2 linked regions of the Arabidopsis thaliana genome follow. The protein of the gene in region 2 binds, or shares a complex with, the protein of the main gene of each other region. Each region holds a gene or a part of one and is shown on either strand. Other genes may lie near its edges.

Region 1 (7,220 bases), on a different chromosome or scaffold from region 2:
AGTCCTGTGAGAATGTAATGTACCTGGACGAAGCAGTCATGGAAGATGAGACGTAGGAGCTTCCCAAGGACTGATGGATCAGAGGAAGAAGCAGATCTAACGGTGTTTCTGACGATTAACTCAGCTCCAGGACAAGAACCGGCGTAGAAGTTGAAAGAGAGCTCAGCTACTGAAGAAGAAAGAAGCAAAAGTAGAAGAAGAGAGGAGAGGAATGTATATTTTGGTTTGCATGAAAAAAACTGCAACGCCATTTTTTAATGTGTCTGTCAGAAGATGGAAAGTGAAGTTGCTTAATCAGCCGAGAGAGAGAAGAGAAGTTGTAGTTGTTGTGATAAATGAAAACTGTAAATGCATGTGCGTTCGTGTCAGAGAGAGAGAGAGATAGTGATGGTTGAGTCAGGAGAACTTAATGACAATCTCTTTACTCTCTTATGCATGCATCCATGAGATCGAGTCATCAATTTTACAAACAAAACAAGAATTTGAAAGTGGTGAATCCAATCACTGCATGCAGTGAATTTTATGGGTAAGAAACCCTAAAATAGTATGAATTTCTCCATTATTGTGACAAAAATCAGAAAACTTTTTTTTGTACCTTTCAGATATTTCTTTTTGAAGATTTAAAAAAATCACTCATGCTTATTGAATTCATCTTTCTTTGACTTGTTATAGTATATGTCACTTTTGCATACAAAAAAAGAAGAGAGAATCTATAAATAGAAAAATGTACAAAAGGATCTAATAATGTGCTTCAGAAACTCTTTATTTGTTGATAGTTTCTGTTGATAAGCCAATTCTTTGTCTTTCATGTCTCAGAAAACCTGAAAAGTACAAGAAATGGTGGAAATCAGTAAAAGGTTTGTCGTTTTTAGATAATAAACTCGATATAGAACAAAAATAAACAAGCAACGGAGATATTTGGATTTTAAAACCTGGGGGTCGTGGCTTTGGACTCGAATTCAATAACCTAATTAAGCAATAATCTTATAATTTCGAAGGAAACAAAACAAGCAAATTTTTTAATGTTAGGTTTAAAGCTTTGTGAAAAAATAATAGAAAAAATGTACTCCATCTTTTTCTAATCATTTTAAGTTTATTCCACTTTAATTTTGTAGTTTTTTTTTTCTTTTCTTCTTTATTGACTGATATTATAAATCACAAAGTTCAGGATGCAATGATTAAATTTATTAGATTACAATCAATGAGTATTAGTTTATAGTTATTAAAAATATTTAATATAAAAAATAAACAGTCATAAAATAATGTTTAATTTTTAATGTGTGTAAAATCCAAAACATCAATGCTTACGGAGATTTCCTTAAGATTAATAAAGTTGATTTTTATGTAATAAGAAACAAAATCTCATTAAACTTTAAAAGTAAAAAAAATAAAAATATGAAGTGTCACTTATGGTAGTAGTATCCAAAACAATAAGTTAATGGATTTGTTTCTAAAGAAAAGAAAAACACTATAAACAGAGGATCCTCACCATCAACTTTCACTAATCATCACAACTTCAACTTTTCAATACTCAGATTAACAATGGCTATTTTCTCCAAATTACATCTTCTCTTCTTCTCCTTCATCATAGCCACATGTATACATAAAACATTTCCAACATTTTAAGATGACTACTTTGATTTAATAATTTATCTGATAATTTTTTTTTGTTGTCCGTCCTAGTAATTTTTTTTTAATTGTATATTCTTCAAGGTACAATTTCTATTGTCTCCGGCACCGTCTTCACTTTATCAAACCGCTGCAACTTTACTGTGTGGCCCGGAATCCTAACCGCAAACCGCACACTACTCCGCGGCGGCGGATTTGCCTTAGCTTCAGGTTCTTCTGTAAACTTAACCGTTTCTCCAGGTTGGTCTGGTCGAATCTGGGGTCGAACGGGCTGCAACTTCAACGCCTCTGGTTCCAGAAAATGTAAAAATGCACCGGTGCAAGAGGAGCACCACCAGCCACACTAGCAGAATTCAGAATCGGCTCCTCTGGAAAGAAATACACCGTACAAGATTCTTACGACGTGAGTCTCGTCGACGGTTACAACGTTCAGGTGAAAATCACACCACAAGGTGGCTCAGGCAATTGTAAAACCGCGGGATGTGTTTCGGACGTGAATGCCATTTGTCCAAAAGAGCTACGCGTTAACGGCTCATCGGGTGTTGTGGCGTGTAAGAGTGCTTGTGAGGCTTTTAACAAACCGGAGTATTGTTGCACCGGCGCTTTCAGTAAACCGGAGACTTGCCCGCCGACGAAATACTCGAAGATATTTAAAGGAGCTTGTCCCACTGCGTATAGCTATGTGTACGATTATGCTTCGAGTAGATTTACATGTACTAGTGCTAATTATGTTATCAGTTTCTGTTCTTAGGCATAGTATAGCCTTTTTTATTGTTATTATTATCAACAATGAATAAATAATTAATCACTATTAACATAGTTTTATGTTTTTTTTTCATCACTATGAAATGTATTAAAGCAAAAAAGACTAATGTTAAAACTTAAAAGATTAAAAATAAAATAAAAAGAAGTTAAAATGACATTTAAATAACGTAAAAATAAACGACGTCGTTTAGCCAAAGTTTCTACTATCTATGTATGTGGTGGAACGAGGTCCAATGGTTGAACAAGCAACCTTATGATATATTTTATGAGAAGAGGCAAACAACACCTAACATTGGATTCGAGCTCTCTAGTGAAGAATCCGCCATGGCTGTTCCATTTCTAAGCTCTTCTCTACAACTCACACCCACTTCTCCGATTCTCTTCACTAAAGTAACACCAACACCAATAATCCACAACCACAGATCAACATGCACTATACCCACAAAGCCTCGTCTACGTCTCCTCCGCCGCTCCGCCGTCGCTGGAACCGCCGTATCTGATCAAACAGAAGGAGGTGGAGATGTTCTTTTAAACCCTGAAGAAGAGAAACGTGTTGAGGTGGCGGATTATGATTGGACAGAGGAATGGTATCCATTGTACTTAACTAAAAACGTCCCTGAAGATGCGCCTCTTGGCCTCACCGTCTACGATCGTCAAATTGTTTTGTATAAAGACGGTGAAGGAACACTTCGTTGTTACGAAGATCGGTGTCCTCATCGGTAAGATAAATCATCTAGCAAAACCACAACCACTAGTTTTGTACTTTTGTTTAGGAATCTGAAATTGAGTTTTGTCTTTTTTTTTATAAAGGTTGGCTAAGTTGTCTGAAGGACAATTGATTGATGGGAGATTGGAATGTTTGTATCATGGTTGGCAATTTGAAGGAGAGGGCAAATGTGTCAAGATTCCTCAGGTTCTTTGTTTACTGATTTTTGCTATTTCGAGATTTTCTCTTTACTCTGTACTTACTGGTTTTGGGTTCTGTTTCTAACAGCTTCCTGCAAGTGCTAAGATTCCAAAGGCTGCTTGTGTGAAGACGTATGAGGTGAAGGATTCACAAGGAGTTGTGTGGGTGTGGATGTCAACAAAGACACCTCCAAACCCTGAGAAGCTTCCTTGGTTTGAGAATTTCGCTAGACCCGGTTTTTTCGACATTTCGACTACTCATGAGCTTCCTTATGACCATTCCATTCTTTTAGAGAATCTGATGGATCCTGCTCATGTTCCTATCTCTCATGATAGAACGGATTTCACTGCTAAAAGAGAAGATGCTCAGCCTTTGGTTTTCGAGGTCACAGAGCGAAGTAATCGGGGTTTCGCAGGGACTTGGGGCCGAGAGAAAGAAGGTGGGAAAGGGAGTAATTTACTTCGGTTTGATGCTCCTTGTGTTCTGCAGAACAATCGAGAGTTCGAGGGGAAGGATGGAGTGAAGAACTATTTTTCAGGGCTGTTTCTTTGTAGACCTACAGGGCAAGGGAAGTCTATGCTTATTGTTAGGTTTGGGGTCACAAAAAGATCGCCTTTGGTTTCGGTGTTACCTCAATGGTTCTGGCATCAGAATGCCTGCAAGGTTTTTGAACAAGACATGGGGTTTCTATCGTCTCAAAATGAGGTTCTGATGAAGGAGAAAGTACCAACTAAGGACTTGTATTTGAATCTAAAGTCATCGGACACATGGGTCGCTGAATATAGAAAGTGGATGGACAAAGTTGGTCATGGGATGCCTTACCATTTCGGGCATAGGACCATATCTCTCCCCAAAGTCCCTCCTGTCGTGGAACATGCCCCGGCAGGGCTCATTGCAGCTCTCTCTGCTTCTTACCCTGCAAAAGGCGGAATTGGGACTATGCATGCTCCCAATTTGGCTAACCGGTACTTCAGACATATTATTCATTGTAGAAGCTGCAGCAATGTGATCAAATCTTTTGAGCTCTGGAAAAATATCCTCTCTGCCACGGCAGTGGCTTTGACGGCTTTGGCCATTCTGGTGGTTAGTAGACAGTGGAAGGCTGTCCTGTTAGGTTCAGCAGCATTGTGCTCAGCCGCAGCTTATACCTGCTTAAGAGCTATAAATCTAAACACCAATAACTTCATTAGAACACACAGAAGACTATGAAAATGTATAGTGTCATGTTTCCTCTTCTTCCAACAATATGTATTTCATGAAATAAATTTTTGCTTGTAAACGCAATTATATAATTCAGAAGGTTCCAATGTTTGCCATCAATCTTACAGTTTAACCATGAAATTTCTGTTAAACTGGTTTAAAGTTCTATGTTCTAAAACTTGAGCCATTTCTTCTCATTCTCTTTGCTTACTATAGCATTTGAGGCAGCTGCTTGACATGCTAATGTACTTGCCAATGCCTTTCGGACTTCTTTCAATCTTCTCGTCGCAGCCTCTGAAACAACTAGATCTTTCTTGTTTCTGTTCACCATCTGTTCTAGTTTCAACATTTCTAACTTCAAGTCTCTGACTTCATCTTGGTATTCAACCAAAGCTTTCCTGTCTACTGGACCTTTGTTTTGCCTATTTTTTACAGACTCGCTGTGTACTTTCTCATGGCGGGTAGGAAAAATTTGTTCATTGATTAAGCTAAACAAATCTGGCTTCGATTCCTCTTCCTGTTTCGCTGCTTTAGCTGCTTCTGCAAACTTCTTCCCACGCTTCCTTTTCCCACCTCTGCTCCTTTTCTTCTTTTGTTTCTCGCTTTTACATTCTCCATTCCTAATGTGCTCAAGAGCATAATCCAGTGACCGCTTTGCTGGAAGTACTTTTACTAAGATTGGATTTAATATCCCTTGGCCAGAGACGCCAAGACCCATCCCTTCACGGTAACCCATACTTGCCATCATCTTCGAAGCTATTCCTCTAGTATGATTCTCCCATTTAGCAAATAAGGCAGTGTCAGTTTGGACACCTCTTGGTAGATTTGTGCTTTCTAGAAAGCCTATGCCTTGTGGAGACCCTTCATCATAATCACTTGAAACAGAATCTTCAGAATCTGAAGCACTCTGTTGTTCATCCTCCTCCTCCTCCTCTTCCCCATCATCATCAGTCATCTGAGCGTACTCTGATAATGCCAAAGAATCAGATCCTAGCTTTGCAGAGCTTTTATCATCTCTGAAAACAACTCCGCCTACTTGTAACTCATCATCCCATGATTCAAGTTCAGCCTTTCTCCATATATCGTATTTACTGCCAGAAACCGCCCAAATCTTAGAGCCTACCATCAATTGCTTCCACTCAGTCTGTTCATAGTTCTTCAGAGAAGATATCGGCACATCTAGTCCTGCACCGATCGATGTCTTGCAGTTATCAACCACAATGACAAACCAGCCACATTTCTAACTTCTAAAGTTCTAAATGTGGTCACGGTATGAATATATAACACACAAAACGATAATGATAAATATTATGATCATCTAACTATGCTTTAAACATACCATGTGATGAACGACAAGAACTGCCAAACCGACACCTCTGCTGCATAAAAAACTTGCAAATCTGCACAAATGTGGTGCAGCATTAGTATCTAAGACACAAAACAGCAATTGAAAAAAATCCACCAGTAACCATCTCAAAGTTAGTCTTTCACAGCCATTATTATATGCCTATAGCAAAACCTAGTTAAGCTAGATAGACAATCAAAACTGAGACTTTCAATAAACTCTATCCACCCTAGCTTTTCAAATCCTATATCACATTAGTATTGTAGGAAAAGACTGATAGATCATATCCAAAACACAAGAACTAAGTAAGAAAACATTTAACAGATGACTACAAAGAACTTACCATCATACTCTCAGATGTGGGTGTAAGGAAAGAGATCTTAGCAGAATCAGAGCCTTCAAATCCAATAATACGACCATTATACCAACGACCATCAGTATGTCGAAACCGACATTTCGATCCATCCAAATCCTTTTTCTCTTCAGTTTTCTCTGGCTCCAGATGCTCAGGTTTAACTCCAGCATCATGATTTAGACCATTCAACACTATATCAGCTTCCTCCAATAACCGAGCTCGTTTTAAATGCAAAAGCCCTTCCTCTACCTCCTTGATTGCACTGAGAAGTTCTTCATGGACCTAACCAAAGACAAAACCACCACACATGAAACATAAGACTAAGTATACGGATTTTCACCTCTAGCTACTCTAAGAATGAGATTATCAAAGAAAAAGGAAACAGCTTTGGACTAATTGATACCATACTATATAATTTCTAGAAAAAGAGCAATCACAAAATTGTTGAATCGTAGTAATCTTAGTTCTCCAGGAAATTTGGGATCTGATTTGAGAGAAGAAAATTTACCGAGAGGAGTTCGGGATTAGATGGGTCAGAGAGTAGGGCTTCGTCAATGGAGGAAAGAGATTCTTTTTGTTCAATTAGCTGAATGTCAAGAAGATTTTCAAGGTCGTTGTTTTCTTCGCTCGCCATGGGAAGATGATTTTAGAGTCTCCCGCGGAGGAGAGAAGACGAGAGAGGAAGAAGAAAACTTCTTGGGTTCCGGGCCGACCCGGAAAATTAACCGGGTTTGCAGTTTATAATTTTTCATTTTATATGCGTTTGGTTGCAATTCGCATACGGTTCGGTTCAATTTAATTTGATTTGGTTTTGTATAATTTTTTGTTAAACTCTTAACTTTGTAGTTATATAACCGATTTGACAAATGCCCGAAACCGAAAACCCAAAAAAAATACCCGAATGCCCGATACCGAAAACCCAAAAAATACCTGAATCGATTCAGATCCGATTTTTAAAAATACGTCGAGTTCTAAACCTAATTACCCAAAAAAAAACAGAACCAAATCTAATACCTGTA
Region 2 (8,885 bases):
CCTACTAACGGTCGGGTCAATTCAAATAGATAGATCACACGTTCTGAATAATGGCACAATAATTTTTAAAAAATATTATGATCGTCCGGTTTGATTTTTAGTATTTTATAAGAATGCTTGTTATTTATTTGTTTCCATCAATACATATACTTCCATTTTGAAATAGCATTGGATTAACATTGTAAAGTGCTAATTCACTATTCCAATGATCTTAACTTTTTGTTTCTTTGTTTGATTTAGACTAACTCAAATAATAAAATCAAGATAATTATAAAAAGTATACATTGTTTAAGGCTTTCTTATTTTTGTCATTCAGATTAGATCATAAACAAATGTAAAAAAATATATCACCTTTTTTGGGTGATCACACGCATAAATTCTAAGGTCACGAATAACAACCATGATGGTTAAAATTTGATATATGCCATGAATCAAATTCTTTCTCTACGATTTCACTTATAGTTAGCCACCGTAAACATTTTAAATAGTAGTAAAAATATGTCTCTTTCACATACAATGTAATCAGTCTGGATTTTGCTTCAAAATCATATGATTAAAAGTAAATTAATTCATTAGCTAGATAAGTAAAATCAAAATTTTGGTGCTTAATTGGTATTAGTCGTGTTCACGACCAATGCTTTTGTGGGGATCAATGATTGAAGACGTAGACCTTCCCATGAACGTAGTTCAATTATCTATCTTCCCAAGCAATAATTGAGTTATTAAATAAACTCCACTAAATCAAGTGTAGGATATAGCCATGCATGTAACAATGTAAGGAAGATATATGAACTTTTGTACATTTTTAAAGTATTGTGGAAGATATATATACAATTATTTTCATCACTATATATAGAAAAACTATAAAACGAATAATTTGACCTGGTTTTATACACCGAAATCTACCCTTAGTTAGGATTTATAAAATTTGATAATTAACTAATGTCCACCACCCTAACTCGAATCTTGATAAGCTTAAGATGGATATAAATTAAGATTCAAATCAATAATAGTCATTGATAAGACAATAGTCTTGTGTTTGACACCATATGTTTTTTGGGGGTAACAAACAGCTCAATGATATGCATTGTTTTTATGGTACACCGAATGATGTTCGATGTTTCCTTGGTTGCTTCCAAAGTCAGTCCAAAAGACAGTTTTGTTTGTACATGCTCACTCAATCCCCCACGTGTCCTCACGTGATATCAACGTACGGTCCTGATGGCCTCATCACTCCCTTTTCACACGTTTCATCCACGGCTCCGAATTATCGCCTCTCCAACACCTTTTCAAGAGATCACATTTGCTCTTTTAGCAGAAAAATGGTCTAATTTAGAGAATTAAAGTCCAATTGTGAGGCCCATCCTTATGAATTAGGAATTGAATAGAAGGAATAATTTTGATTTAGTTTCATGTAGACACTATTTCCTTATGATTTAGCTTTTGTTTGACAAAGCAAATTTTGTCAATGATTGAAAGATGAGTCAATTATGAAGCTTAAATATATGTGAATGATAATTGTAAGGATTATATGGATTTTAGTCATAGTGATAACAAAGATCACTTGGCCACATGTTTTGGTTATTTTTGAAAACTTTTTCTGTTGTTGAAATCCTGAATATATGCATGAAATCGAATTTTACCACATTACGGAGAAGAGCAATTATTAAAGTTGAATGTGTACACAGCAGAAAAATACAAAGAAAGCGTCCAATCTGTACATGTACTACAACATGATTGACTTTTTGGTAATGATAGAATAAAAATGAATATGTAATTCAATGTTACCACAATTTAATTACTTTGTAGTACCACGGATTAGTTAGATAAAGTAAACACAAAGGTGTGAACTTAGATCTCTTTATAAGTGGTTTGGTGGCTTCTCAGAGAGTTTGAGAAACATTACCATACTCTTTATTAGTCCATCCCCCAACCATTCATATACGATTGTGTGATATATGTTCTTTTCAATATAGTTATATAAATTTTCTCAAATAGAATGTTACAAACATATTTGATTAGTTTTGTTGTTGCTGATGATGACAACTAATTTTGACAATTTCAAAAATCATTTGTTGTTGTTGAAATTTCAGTCCTTTGTTGCTCATCATAGTGTAAGTCTATCAACAACAGTAAAATGAACAAAAATCTTTAGTATCGTATTATATACTATATTAGGTCCATACATTTTTACGAGTTAATTTGAGGTATCCACATCCATACACACAATATCTCATATTGGAGCATGTGATTTTTCTGCAAATAGTTTGTACGTACAATAGATATGATTGTGAACAATTGTAAAATAGTCACAAATAGTAGTACTCTAGTACTTGGCCACATTTCAATAATCTTTAGTGATCAATCTTATCACCCTAAGATGAATTTTTCTTTTTTGTTAAATATCAACATATATAGTCCTAAACCTACATTGAAATTTGCTCTCGTTATAGTTTGAAATTTATACAATGCATATCATTAATAGCATTGTTTGGTCCAAATCAAATAAATATAAAAACAAATGCCATCTAACGACCGACAATTATATATAGAGGGTATGAAATGAATTAAATACAGAGCCTATCTATAACACTCTATATCGACAATTTGCACGTTATGATCCAAATTCCAATCACAAAGATTAATTAATTACTTAACCTTCCTAATGAAACCATTAATAAAGTGAGTTTAAACTAGAAAACTATCATCATTGATTTTTATTTTCATTTCTGACCATCACTTTAATAATGCATTGACAGTATTGTCTCCTCGTGGCTTCTTCTTCTTTTTGAATTCGAAAGTTGTCTTTAAAATCTTCTGATACTTGATTACAAAGCTTTTTTACATTTTCTTCTGATAAGTGTTTGGTGAAGGTTTAGAACTAAACCGGTCAGAATAAACCATCTTATTGCAGATTTGTTATACGTTTTTATTTCCTTTGATAAAGACTGAAATAAGTATTGTCACAGTAGAGATAAGAGACGTTGAAACATGAAACCATTAGTAAAGATTCACTGAACATCATTTACTTTCAAGAACTGCTTTCTCCTGATTGTGAATCGGTAAGCTTGGTGCTGAAATCCCAAACCTTCTTGGCCAATTCTGTATCTTTGACAAGTGGTAATGGTTTAGCAATGTTGCTATCTTGGAAGTATTCCCCTGAAACTCCTGCAACTTGAGGATTCAATGCCACATAGCAAGTTGTTGCCGCTCCCTACAAAGTCGTATACTCAGACATTATAAACCACATAACGGAACAAAACCAAGTTTTATCCTTTAAGCAAGATCTGAGAAACCTTGTGACCAGTTTGTAAGTGATTGGTTACCAGTGTGAGGCTTCGAAATTAGAAGCATACCTGTGGAACAGACTTGAGTATATATTTAGCCACTGCACCAACCGCTACTGCATCAAGCCAATGCCAGAGAGGATCAGAAGAAGTATATGTATGCGTTTGTTTACTTGTGTGTAACCTTGTGAAGTATGGGGTGATGATAGTGGAATAAGAGAAAAGAAGTTACCAGCCAAATAGGGGTTGAAGTAGCGCCCGAGGTTAGTCATAATGGCTCCTGGATGAAGCGAATTTGCTGTTATATTGACTCCATCTTCCTATTTTATTCATACCAGATTTGAATCAATATAACCATGGAAACATAGATTTTGATTTGATAGATCTCTTGTTTTTCTAGTTACCTTCAGTTGCTTTGTAAGCTCGTTGGCGTGCAACACATTGCAGAGTTTAGATTGTCCATAAGCTCGCATACTACTGTAACTGCAACGGAGACCAAACCAAGGAAGAATGTTAGATTTTGATAGAAGAATTACTATTTGGTTCACCATTAGTACCTTGACTTGTCATTGATCTTATCAAAACGAACTCCTTCTGGATACGAGAACCGATGAGCTTCTGATGATAGGTTAACAATTCTTCCTTCTCGTTTGCTTTCACGTGATGTGCTCTTCATTGTATCTAGCAGAAGTTTAGTCAACAGAAAATGACCTGAAATAAAGTGGATCACAAATTCCATGCCACTGACTAAAAACTAATGATGATGTTAACTTAAGTATATAACTTTAGAACAAAGCCACATAATGTTGGTTTACTTCTCCTACTCACCTAAATGATTGGTTGCGAATTGCAGCTCGATGTTGTCCTTAGAGAGCATAAAAGGACATGCCATAATCCCGGCATTGTTGCTTACAAGATTAAGACAATTCAAAACATTAACCATCAATAAATCAAAACCGCTATATACAGTATTCAATAGCTTACATCAAGAGGTTGAGTGGAAGACCAGTAGATTTGTACTCAGACGCAAATTTCCTGACAGATTGCATTGAGCTGAGATCTAACTCCATGACATCGAGTTTAGCTCCAGGGACTTGCTTGACAATATCTTCCTTAACTTTAGCACCAGAGTCAGTGTTCCTCACCGCCATAACCACATGCACACCACGCAGTGAAAGAACACGCGCTGTCTCTACTCCTATACCACTTGATGCTCCTGAAAATATGAACACAAAGACAAGAAAACTTAAGGAACCAAACATGTCCAGAAAACTCAATGCAGGCTAGACTACTTTTTAAAGTTGTATCAACCAATGATCAGTTAAGCTCTTCCAAGCCTTTTCAAACCCTGATAGGCTATTAGGCTGACTCAGGGTTTGCCCAATCGATGCTACACTCAAATATGTATGTGCAAGTCTTTAGTGTCACCTAACAGGGTTCTATCAATTCAAGGACTCCATTGTTCTTGTTTCAGGCCCTAATGTAATATGATCAAAATATAGAAACGATTTCTACAAGCAAATCTGTATTTTTTCTTCCCTTGGCCAGGAATTGTATAGAGTTGTGATATATAACACAACTTACAAGCAGCTGAAACAGAGACGAGTTATTTTCCCTTAACATGCAATTATACATATGGTCCCAAACTTGTTGTACTTTAAAATTCACCAAACATGGAATTTTCAATCCAAATTCTTGAAAAAAAAGACAACTTTCGAACAAGAAACAGTGATGACCTCAATATTTATTAGAGTTGACCGAATCAAAGACAGACCCTGATGATAAAAACCTTAAATTCCAATTGTCTAAACAATAAAAGTCAAGTCTTTTTACTAGATATGAAATCAATTCGAAGACAGAATCAGAGAGGACAAAAGTTCTGGAAATTATAAGAAAAAAAGTCTACAACTTTAGACAACCCCATGTCGCAAAATGGCATGAAAGTGTTGATAGAAGAAAACCTGTGACTATGGCAGTGAGACCAGTCCCATCAACACCATGTGTGACTTCCTCTGCAGTTGAACGAGACGAGAATCCAGATGCTCCTTTCGATCCAAAAAACCACATCTTTCAGCTTTTTTTGTTTCTGCTGGAGAAGATGAGAGGAAAGAAGTCCAATAAACACAAACTATGGGACTTGTTAGCGTTTTTCTCTTCTTGAGTGGTCAAGCGATTTCGCTTTTATTCTGATTTAAATAACTTTATTTGTTCATATGTGACAGAAATGTGATTACTTTACTTTAATCCTCATGTCTCACGAGGTTGAGGTTGAAGTGTAGAATAGTGCATCTCCAAAGTCAAATGATGGGGATTTATTAACAACTTTCTTTTTAAAGGATTTAACAAATGTCCTTAAAATAGCTCCCACCAATAACATGAGTTAACTCCAAAATCAGAAGATGTTTTAAGCTCTTTCTGTTTGGTTTCTTACTTACTTATGTCTACGAGTTAGTTCACTAGACAACTGTTTTGAGTCAATGAGAAAACAGATAAGTAACACTTTTGTTTAGGCTGAAATTGGATAAACCATCTTTTTGCAGAATTGAAATGGAAATGATTTCAGATTTGTTTTTTACATTTTATTTTGTATCAATAAAGACTGAAATAAGTATTGTCACAATAGAGACATCGAAAGTAAAGGTTCCCTGAACAACTATCTACTGCAACGGTAATCATCATTGCGAATCAGTAAGCTTAGTGCTGAAATCCCAAAGCTTCTTCGCCAATTCTGTATCTTTGACAAGTTCTATTGGTTTAGCAATGTTGCTATCTGAGAAGTATTCCCCTGTAACTCCTGCAACCTGTGGATTCAATGCCACATAGCAAGTTGTTGCCGCCCCCTACCAAGTCGAATACTCAGACATTATAAACCAGATTACCAACAAAAACCAAATCAATCCGTAAAGCTAGACTGCTGTATCATTCTCTCCTACTTAAGCTGAGAAACCTAGTGACAAGTTTGCAAGTGATTGGTTATTAGTGTGAGGTTCAGAAATTAGATGCATACCTGCGGAACAGACTTGACCATATATTTAGCCACTGCACCAACAGCTCCTGCATTAAGCCGGTGACAGAGAGATCAGAAGAGACTCAAAATATATGTATGCGTTTGTTTACTTTGAGTGTAACCTTATGAAACATGGAGTGATGAGAGTTGAATCCGAGAAAAGAAGTTACCAGCCAAATAGGAGTTGAAGTAGCCCCATAGATTTGTCATAATGGCTCCTGGATGAAGTGAATTTGCTGTTATATTGACTCCATCTTCCTGTTTTTAATCATATACCAGAATTGAAGATAACCATGGAAACATAGATTCTTGATTTGCTATATCTTTGCTTTGTTTAGTGTAGTTTACCTTCAGTTGCTTTGCAAGCTCGTTGGCGTGCAATACATTGCAGAGTTTAGATTGTCCATAAGCACGTATACTACTGTAACTGCATGTGGAGACCAAATCAAGGAAGAATGTTGGCTTTAGAAGAAAAGATGGGATCGGAGAATTATACTATTTGGTTCACCATTAGTACCTTGACTCGTCGTTGATCTTATCAAAGCGGACTCCTTCTGGGTACGAGTAACGATGAGCTTCTGATGATACGTTAACAATCCTTCCTTCTCTTTTGCTTTCACGTGATGTGTTCTTCATTGTATCTAACAGAAGTTTGGTAAGCAGAAAATGTCCTGAAATGTATTTGGATTACAAAAACCGTTGCACTGATTAGAAACTAATTATATAAAATGTAGGACAAAGCCATAATGTTGGTTTGGTTATCATACTCACCTAAATGGTTGGTTGCGAATTGCAGCTCGATGTTGTCCTTAGAGAGCATAAAAGGACATGCCATAATCCCGGCATTGTTGCTTACAAAATTGAGACAAGTCAAAACATAAACGTCAATAAATCCAAACGGCTATAGATGAACCACGATATTTCAATAGCTTACATCAAGAGGTTGAGTGGAAGACCAGCAGATTTGTACTCAGATGCAAATTTCCTGACAGATTCCATTGAGCTGAGTTCTAACTCCATGACATCAACTTTAGCTCCAGGGACTTGCTTGACAATATCTTCCTTAACTTTAGCACCGGCGCCAGTGTTTCTCACCGCCATAACCACATGCACACCACGCAGTGCAAGAACACGAGCTGTTTCTACACCTATACCACTTGATGCTCCTGAAAAAACATGAAAACAAACAAAACAAAACTTGAGGATCCAACATGTTCAGAAATCTCACTTTCTTAAGTTGTATCAACTAATAGATTAAGCTCGTTCCTAGCCTTTTCAATACCCTGATAGGCTGATACAGAACATGTGCATACTAAACTACATACTCAATCTAACCAAAATAAGGAAGCAGCACTTCACAAAAGTATTGAAACGAGATCTACAAGCAAATCTTTTTTTTTTCTTCCTTTGGTCAGAAATTGTATAGTGTGTGATTATAACATAACTTAGAATCAGCTGAAACAGAGACAAGTATGTATATATATGTAACTTTCTAATAGCACATGTTATTTGCAGATCAAATGGTCCCAAACATGTTGTACTTTAAAATTCACCAAACATAGCAATCCAATTCTTGTGAGCAAAAGCTTGTTACTTATTGGCAAAAAAAAAAGACAAACTTTAGAACAACAAACGGTGATGACCTCCATATATTTATTAGGGTTGACCGAACCAAAAACAGACCCTGATCATAAAAACATCAAATTCCAATTGTCTAAACAATAAAAGTAAAAAATCTCTACCCTACATATGAAATCAATTCATAATTATAGAAAAGTCTACAACTTTAGACAAACCCAAGTCGCAAAAGGGCATGAAACTATTGATAGAAGAAAACCTGTGACAATGGCAGTGAGACCAGTCCCATCAACACCATGTGTGACTTCCTCTGCTGTGGAACGAGAAGAGAATCCAGATGCTCCTTTCGATCCAAAAAACCACATCTTTCAGCTTTTTTTCTTCTGGAAAAGATGTAAGGAAAGAAGAAATTAACACAAACTCTGAGATTTGTTAGGGATTTTCTTCTTTAGTGGTCGAAGGATTTCGCTTAAGTTCTGATTTTAATAATTCATATGTGACAGAAAAGTGTGATTACTCTAATTGGGAAGGATAAATAATGACGAGGAGAGAATCCTCGCTTCTCACGTGGAGATTTGATTAGAAGATTGCATCTCCAAAGTCAAATTAACAACCTTCAATAAAATAGCTCCACCAAAAACGTGAACAATTAAAGAAAGACCTCAGATGTTATAACAGTTACCAGAGAGCTAAAAAGATTGAACTATTGCGGATGGAATGGGCCGCGCGAACGCAGCCCCCCAAGGCAACAAATAATGACGCAGGATCTCCCACTTGGCCATTTGGGGAAACCTTAGGCTTAGCGCACCTCAAGTGCAGGAAGCCACTAGCCTAGGCCATGGGTATTCATGAACAAAAGATTGAACTACTGGGAATGGTAGGGGCTGCGCGAACGCAAACCCCCTCTGCCACAAATAATGACGCAGGCTCTTCCACAAGGGAAGACCTTAAGCTAAGCACCCTTCCGTTATGTGCAATGGAATTCACTAGCCTAGGCCACTCGTCTTCTTGAT

What was found. The genes of interacting proteins can lie anywhere in the genome.
Region 1: Tic32-IVa (region 2) and TIC55-II share a complex: the UniProt entries of both Arabidopsis thaliana proteins name them as parts of the tic complex.

Annotation. Positions count from the first base shown.
Region 1 is NC_003071.7:10,572,320-10,579,539, forward strand, and holds TIC55-II (translocon at the inner envelope membrane of chloroplasts 55-II), read left to right. Parts: upstream 1-2,622; 5' UTR 2,623-2,718; coding exon 2,719-3,113; intron 3,114-3,204; coding exon 3,205-3,307; intron 3,308-3,388; coding exon 3,389-4,510; 3' UTR 4,511-4,619; downstream 4,620-7,220. Other genes in the region: AT2G24800 (Peroxidase superfamily protein), read right to left, coding at 24-251; AT2G24810 (Pathogenesis-related thaumatin superfamily protein), read left to right, coding at 1,543-1,597, 1,714-1,869, 1,928-2,062, 2,145-2,380; AT2G24830 (zinc finger (CCCH-type) family protein / D111/G-patch domain-containing protein), read right to left, coding at 4,674-5,686, 5,841-5,901, 6,190-6,483, 6,710-6,835. UniProt on the Arabidopsis thaliana protein: Involved in protein precursor import into chloroplasts. Part of the redox regulon consisting of TIC32, TIC 55 and TIC62.
Region 2 is NC_003075.7:12,225,640-12,234,524, reverse strand, and holds Tic32-IVa (NAD(P)-binding Rossmann-fold superfamily protein), read right to left. Parts: upstream 5,623-8,885; 5' UTR 5,355-5,622; coding exon 5,249-5,354; intron 4,504-5,248; coding exon 4,272-4,503; intron 4,196-4,271; coding exon 4,116-4,195; intron 3,999-4,115; coding exon 3,845-3,998; intron 3,771-3,844; coding exon 3,692-3,770; intron 3,608-3,691; coding exon 3,520-3,607; intron 3,404-3,519; coding exon 3,357-3,403; intron 3,215-3,356; coding exon 3,032-3,214; 3' UTR 2,807-3,031; downstream 1-2,806. Other genes in the region: AT4G23420 (NAD(P)-binding Rossmann-fold superfamily protein), read right to left, coding at 5,963-6,127, 6,295-6,341, 6,465-6,552, 6,643-6,721, 6,812-6,965, 7,066-7,145, 7,229-7,460, 8,132-8,215 and 2 more. UniProt on the Arabidopsis thaliana protein: Involved in protein precursor import into chloroplasts. Part of the redox regulon consisting of TIC32, TIC 55 and TIC62.